2 linked regions of the Daphnia pulex genome follow. The protein of the gene in region 1 interacts with the protein of each later gene in a pairwise test. Links are inferred from orthologs where the notes say so. Each region holds a gene or a part of one and is shown on either strand. Other genes may lie near its edges.

Region 1 (3,500 bases):
CAGTCAAGTGATTCATCGGCCGACTCCGATACATTTTTTCAGCTGCATTTATTTGATGAGGAAAAAGAGAGGCGCTGGATGGGAAACAACAACGGCAACAAAACAATCGTCGTGTATATTCGTCGGGGTCTAGATAACTAGCTAGCCCCGTAGACATGCTAGCCGTCCATCACGGCCGGGAGCTTTTATCTCTCGATCGACGACGATCGAATACATCTTCATGTTGCACACATGAGAAAGTTTAAGGGGAGAGAGAGAGAGAGAGAGAGACGGAATGAATAGAGAGGATCGTGATTTGTGTTCTTATAGCCCTTCGTTGTTTGACTTTTGTTTATCCTCCTTCGTCCGAGAAACAATACAAAAGAAAACAATAAATAAATAAGAGAAGGAAAACAAATTTCGAACTCGAGGGTAAATGAATGCTTAACACTCGTCTCGGAAAAGATATAAAGAGGAACGACAATGAGCAGAAGGAAATTGGAGAGAGAGAGAGAGAGAGAGAGAGAGAACCAACATCCACGACATGCCGAGATAATCAGTATCGTGATGTGAATATATTTCAAAGGAGGAGGATACAAGTACGTGGAAGTCTGGAACTTGAAAGAAAAAGAGGAATGCCGATCATGTAAATACCCCGTTTCATGGATGTTTCCTTTCTTTTTATGAAGCGATCCAACAACACAATAGGCCTATCCCTGGATCATACGTAATATGCCACAGATGATCACTGTAATTTAACAGCACGAAAAAAGCGTGTTGTCTGCCAGTTTAATTGTTGTCCTTTTTGATTCCCTGACATTAGTTCAAACAAGAAATGAAATATCTAATTTTTACGAAGTCCCAATGACAAAATAATTTTTTTTTGTATGAGAAAATGAACCTGTGCAGATTATAGTCTGTTTGACCGATCCATAACTGCTGTATAGCTGCAACTCGGATGTTGTTGTTTTTTTGGAGTTGATGCTACAGCTGCCTGGGTCTTTTTCTCCGGTCGCGACATCTTGCACCCACTGTGACACACATGCACAAAATTGAACCGTATAGCTCATTTTCGAACAGAGAATAGGGATTTCTTTCTTTCTCGTTTTTTCCCATTTTTTTGTGTGTGGTTCGAACCTTTATTATCTCTAGCGGTTATTCATCCACCTCAAAAAAGTAAAGGTTTTTACGCGGTAGGCTGCACATTTCCAGCTTCCCCCTTTTCAGCTGGGGAGCCCTCGAATCCCGTTAACCCTCCGCGTCCCTTCTTGCCCGCTTGTAATATCGCACAGTCTCCTTATCGTTTTTTGTGTGCATGCGTGTTGTTGTTGTCCATCTTTCACCCCTTTCCACACGTGTTTTTGATGTGTTCTCGTACGCATATCGTCCTAATTCTTCCTCTCTCCCACCCGGTGTGTGTGTGTGTGTGTGGTGTTGGAACAAGGACGTGGTTGACGAACGGTACAAGGAGGAGCCCCTCCTTTTTATTTTTCATTCGACTTGCATCTGCTTCCCTACATTATGTGTGGGTGAGGGTGAAGAAGAAGGAGGGGGTGACACAAAAAACTCGTGTTTACGTCAGTTCTACATATATAACGGATCTAATGTATAAAGAGTAGAAAAAAGAGGGAAATAGAGAGAGAACCAGATCCTCTTTCCTATAAATGCAAAACAAAATAGGAAAGAAAAAACAACATACGTAGCTGCTACAGTTGTGTACGTTTCCAACCCTTTTGCACCGTACACTGTATTATACCATATATGTAGATACATAATATAGAATACCGTTATACCCATGTCGCATTTTGTATTCCATATTCCATAAACGTATTGCATCCCCCCCACTCCCCTCTCTCCGGATTTTACTTGAAATGAAAAATCCAACATAATGCCCAACATTATTCAGGCTTTGGTTTTTTTTATTATTGTAATCGAGACTGTATTGTAAACGGAATTTGCGTGTTCCACACCGATTAGCTATTGATAGTTAAAAGCTTCGATTTATGTATATAAAGAAGATCAAATCTAACAAATTTTCTTTGTCTGTTTTGTTCTTTTATATAGAACCGGCCTCGTACGTCTGTTCTACATGCCAGCGACGTTTCCGCAGCGCTTGGATTCTGCTGCAACATGTCCAGAACGACCACGGTGTCCGGATCTACGTGCCGGACGGCTGCGGCGATTGGTCTGAACGTTCGGGAGCCACTGGCTACTCGTCGTCGTCGTCGTCCAACCACAAGAAATGCCCGACGCCTTTGTCGCCGCACGCTGCCGCCTCAGCTCACCATCACCACCACCACCAACAGCAGCTGCAGCAGCAGCAGCACCAGCACCAACAGGCCCATTCGGCCCATCATCTGCACGGCCTCAACCCAGCGTCGTTTGCCCCTCTGGCCGCCGCGTTGGCCAACCACCACCGCTCGACAGAGTCGGCGTCGTCGGGATCGGGTCAACGACTCACCAATTCGACGCCGCACTCGGTGGCCTCTCTGGCCGCTTCGTCGATGACCTCATCGATGCAACATCTGCCCTTCCCGTTACCTCACACGCGTCTGCCGCCTTCTTCGTCCAACAACAGCAGTGGCACCAGTAGTCATTCAGCGCGGACGTGCGGAAGCGGATCCACATCCGTCAACATGTCTGCCCACTTGCCATCGCCCGTTTCATTCCCCATGCTTCTCTCCGGCCTTGGCCAGCACTCGCACCAAATTTCGGCCGGATTGGATCCGCACATGCCGTTCGGTCTCTTGCGGCTGCCACTCGGCGAGCGACACTCGTTTGGCGCCTCTCTCAATGCCCAGCCGGCCGGCTATCCTCCGCGACCGTCTAGTCACGATCTGCTCCTCCGTGGTGGAGGAGGAGGAGGAGGAGGAAACGTGGGCGGTTCGTCCGCTAGCGCCGCCAGCGCCGAAAGCTTGATGCCTGAACACTTTCGTGCCGGGCTTCACGGGCTGTCGAGCCTGAATTCGTCCGGAATCTCATTCCCACCGCCGATCCAGGAATCTTTCGTCGGAGAGAGACCCACTCCTCCGGCCACCACTCCTTCAACGCCTCCCACCACCACGACGGCCACCTCCGTTTCAGCGGCGGCTCCCAGCATTCCGTCGACTGCAGCCAAAGATTCGGCCGATTTTTATTCACAGCGACTGCGCCAACTGGCCGGTAACGGACCTGAAAGTCCCAAAGCCAACGGACCTTCTTCCCGGTCCCGCTCCCCATCGCCCAGCTCGGCTAAAATGACGACGGCCAGCCCGCTCACGTCGCCAGTCGAGTCCAAGGCCAAGTCAGGGGACAACTCGACGCCGACGAGACCTTCGTTGCCGGCCACTGCAGGTGAGCCAGCCACCGAGGAATCCTTCTCGACGTCCAGCCCCAAATCCAGCGGAGACGTGCTAAGAGCATCGAGTCCGGCCGTGCGCGAACAACCAATGACGATGAAATGCTCAACTTGCGATTTCCGCTGTGCCACAACCATTGAACTGCGGCGGCACATCAGGACGCACCGTCGCATCCAGCGCGGC
Region 2 (4,051 bases), on another chromosome or scaffold:
CATCAACCACCACATCATTCACGGAAGGGGGGAGTGATTCAATTCAATTCAAACTTTTTTCTTTTGGGAAAAAAAAGTTGTCGGCCATTTGCGGTGAGTCAATGGACATATGGCGGCGTTTCTTCTCGGCAAACATGACGTGGAGGCTTTAAATGGGAATAACTTGTATTGAAGAGAGTTTGAAATGAAACAATCAAATACACACAACTGGCAAATGGGACCCCAAAAAAAAATGCTGGACGCTATTTCTGAGCAAATGACAAAAATATCAAAAACGGTTTTCTCTGATTTCCTGATTTTTTTAAATTTAAATTTCTTTGTACAAGTTTGTACAACATGGCAGGGTAAATTACATAAACGGTTAATTATTAGGTGAAACACAATGTTTTTAAAGGCATTTTTCTGTTTTACAAATCACCAGACTTGTACATGTCGCTGATGATGCGCTCGATGGGGATGTTGCCGATCGTCTTGCGGAAAAACAATTCTTCGATCGTCGAAGGAGCGATGGTGCGCAGAGCGGGCAGGAGGAGCAAAAGACGGCCGAAGCGGAGCGGCTGGTTCGGGTAGGCCGTCGAAACGTAACGGCTCAGCGTCAACTGGGCCTGGTCTTGCAAATTGACGGCGGATGGAATATCTCGTAATCCAGCAGCTATTAGAATTAAAAAGAAAAAATGAGTTTCGAGAATTCTAATGAAATAAAAAAAAATGAACTTACAGGTTTTGAAGAGAATGACGGCGCGGAGACAAGCGTATTCGGTGGCGTCGACGTTCATTTGTTTGAACTTGGCCACCGTTTCCTGGAAGGCCTTGATTTCGCTGAGGAGGCCTAACTGGCGCTCGGTGCTGACGGCCGGCATTGTGGGCGGGCAGGGCATGCCACTCAGACCGAAAGGTGAGCTGCTGAGGCCTAGCGCCGTCATCAACGTGCCAGCTTCGATGGGCAGCGTGAATTGAGCGGCGCCCAGGACAAACAGTTCCCTCCAGCTCTCCTCCAACAAGATGATTTGGTCGCGGGATGGCAGGGTCGTGAAAGCTGGCACGCTCTTGGCCCATCGCACGTTCATGAAAAGCAAACGGGCAGCTGATTCGCAAATGGTTTCGGGACTAAAGTTCCACGGCATCATGGCGGCGGCGGCAGCGGCCGGAACGGCGTTGAACATTTCATGTGGATACTGCAAAAATAGAAATGGTTAATTCAACTATCCAATCGAATAAAAGAAGATTCCCCCAAGAAATGCTCATTAGCCGAGAATAATAATAATCAGAAAACGACTTCAATTAGATAAGCCTATCGGATTAAAAGCTGGAAAAGTAAAAAAACAATGACCAAAAGTAGAATGGAAATAGAAACAACTGTGTGACTTTTTGGTAATCTCAGGTGAGGTCAAATTCCCAATCGACCTTGCGTCAGGTATGTGAAAAAGTCAGTGGCCCATTTTAGTTTGAGAAAATTCCAAAAGAAAAAGTTCTTTGTTGTTTCTTTAACCCTGTCCATTGCAAATTTGTTGATCTCTTCTCTACTTTTGTTTGGCTAATCCAATCCCACAGTTAATTGCGACTATTCCCAGAATTGTGTGGTGAAATAAAGAGATGATGATGTACCTTGGGCTGAGGAGCGCACAAGAGGTTCATGGGCCGGGCTGCGTGATGAGACAACAGGGACATGGACATCCTTTCGGCCAGGGTCAAGTGATGGGACAGGTGGTGGTGGTGGTGGTCGGCCGTTGGGCAGTTGAGCAAACTGGACGGAGGTGAAGATGAGACGCTGAGGACCGTGTTGCTGGTCGGCGTCGAAGTGGCCGGTGGCGAAAAGGCGCCCATTTGCTGCGGACGGAACATGGGGATCGAAGTGGACGACGACGGGGGCGTAGTCATTCCCGACGGCATCAACGGGCTAGCCCGACCGGTCGACGGTGGCGGACTGTCGGCGTCGGCCGATCCGTTGTTGTTTTCCGGCGACGACGAAGTCGATCCTTTCATCGAGTAGAACATGGACATTTGGCGGCGCAGAGTCGAGTTCCTTGGTCCGCGTTCGTGTTGAACGGCTAAATATGAAGAGAAATTAATTAATTAACATTCCAGTTGATTGGCTGATGATGTGTAATTCACTTACCATCTTTGTTCATTCCAACTTCAACGCATTTGCGGAGTCGGCAGGCCCGGCATTGGTTGCGGTGGGTCTTATCAACCAAACAGGCCCCCTCACTCTTGGCCTTGCAAACGTACTGGCGATTCCGGCGAATGGAACGCTATATGATGGAATAGAAGAAGAAGAGAAAACAAGTCAACAATCTGGTCCCACAACGCACTGGCAACAATGTCAAAAACAAGAAACTTTTGCGGAAAAATGATGTTGTGTCCATCAACGTACCTTGAAGAATCCGGCGCATCCATCGCAAGCAAAGATGCCGTAATGTTTGCCAGAGGAATGATCCTGGCACACTCTGCACGGAATATCGTACAGGATCCGGCCTGAAGGAGAAAAACCAAAATTTTTAAATTTCCTCAATTTCTGGCGGATTGGCAAGAAATGTTGTGAACTTACTGGACGGAGTTGAGTTGGAGCTCTTTTGGCTGAGACGGAGATCCATGTCGACTGGTGAGGACTTCATTGGTCGAAACTTTCACGAAATGTAAAAACCGGAAAAATCCGCAAAAATCTTTTCTTGGTTGTGAGAGAAGAGAAAACACACAAAAGTCCGGAAGAGATGAGGTCGTTGAGAGGAAACACGAGAGACGACCTGACTCGCTGGGCAGATGGTTGGCAACTGTTGAAAAGTGGACCGAGATTTGGGCCTTTTGACGTCGGGCGAGTCCCGTCAAGTCACAGCCCAGGGTGGGGGTAGAAAAATACGTACATAGGCAATGGGTGTGCTATAGGGTGAGAGGGGGGGTTACAAAGGAGATGGAAAGGGAGTGGGTAGGGGGGGTTTGGAGGGGGTGACCTTTGATCCGCCCAGTCAACCCAAAAGGGCTTCTTCCATTTGGCCGTCAGGCCTTACTCTTTGCCCGCCCTCTCGCCCATCCTTTGGCAGCCAGGAGGACAAATCAAATCCCATGGCTCTTCTTCTTTGCCACCAGCAAGTCATGGCTTTCCTTTACTTTTTTGACCATCCACAGCAGTCGTTGCCATTGACACACATTTTTGCCTCTTTGCCATTTCTTTTCTTCACTGGAAATCAACAGCAGAAGCAAAAGAAGTCGCCTCCTTCCAAGAAAAATGGCAAAACGACTTGGGACCGCCTATTTGATTGCAGACGAAATCAAATAATGACATTTCATTGATCGATAACTTGTTGCAATCATATCGTTAATCATCCAAATAGTCGAGAGGGGAATGATCCTTCATATGGTTTATTTATATTTACGAATTTCCGTTTCATTATTTTTAAGTCTATCTAGGGTCTTATTGTGGGGATTTCGGTCAACAATAATACAATAATTTATGTAGTTCGTTCAAGTTACTCGGTTAACTCTTTCAATCATTTTTAACTATCGATATCTTAGACAATGGCTAATTAGAATATTGGCGCGTCTGCATTCGTCAACACGTTTCGAAATCAGGCAGTTTCGATGGTTTCAACAAAGGAAATGGAACAGTAACTTTTTTGGAAACGTGGCTGCACCAAAAATAGCAAGGCAAATGAAATTACAATTAATGTGGTGGTCGCGTCTGGTCGTTTCAATTCTGGTCGCGTCTCAATAGAATCGCTTGTTACATCGTCGATGCGGTCTATGCTGTTTAGCAGGTGAATCAAATTAAAATTGCAAATAGTATGATAATGTAAACTTAAATAGAATAGTTAGACCGGTTCAAATTTTGTGAAATGTGAGTTCCTAACTTAAATTCCATCATGTAAGCCCCCTGTCGATCCATGGTTGTTTGTTTGCTGTTACATAACCTTTTCCTTTGTGCAGATTTGCCAGACATCGTTAACCAACAAGATGTTCAAGTTTGTGTTGGTATTAACCTGGCATCAGCAGTAATGTTACTACCACTGCTAGGATAATGATTTGTGTTTCTTTTATACCTCCGACCTGCTAGATA

Evidence for each region. The genes of interacting proteins can lie anywhere in the genome.
Region 2: the proteins of B-cell lymphoma/leukemia 11A-like (region 1) and nuclear receptor subfamily 2 group E member 1-like interact in a two-hybrid assay, tested with the Homo sapiens proteins (2 studies listed by BioGRID). The link is inferred for Daphnia pulex from reciprocal best matches to the Homo sapiens genes BCL11A and NR2E1.

What each region holds. Positions count from the first base shown.
Region 1 is NC_060022.1:6,798,394-6,801,893, forward strand, and holds part of B-cell lymphoma/leukemia 11A-like, read left to right. Parts: intron 1-2,043; coding exon 2,044-3,500. UniProt on the Homo sapiens protein: Transcription factor. Associated with the BAF SWI/SNF chromatin remodeling complex. Binds to the 5'-TGACCA-3' sequence motif in regulatory regions of target genes, including a distal promoter of the HBG1 hemoglobin subunit gamma-1 gene.
Region 2 is NC_060019.1:13,052,338-13,056,388, reverse strand, and holds nuclear receptor subfamily 2 group E member 1-like, read right to left. Parts: upstream 2,801-4,051; 5' UTR 2,616-2,800; coding exon 2,549-2,615; intron 2,476-2,548; coding exon 2,375-2,475; intron 2,253-2,374; coding exon 2,117-2,252; intron 2,049-2,116; coding exon 1,606-2,048; intron 1,176-1,605; coding exon 719-1,175; intron 653-718; coding exon 408-652; 3' UTR 151-407; downstream 1-150. UniProt on the Homo sapiens protein: Orphan receptor that binds DNA as a monomer to hormone response elements (HRE) containing an extended core motif half-site sequence 5'-AAGGTCA-3' in which the 5' flanking nucleotides participate in determining receptor specificity.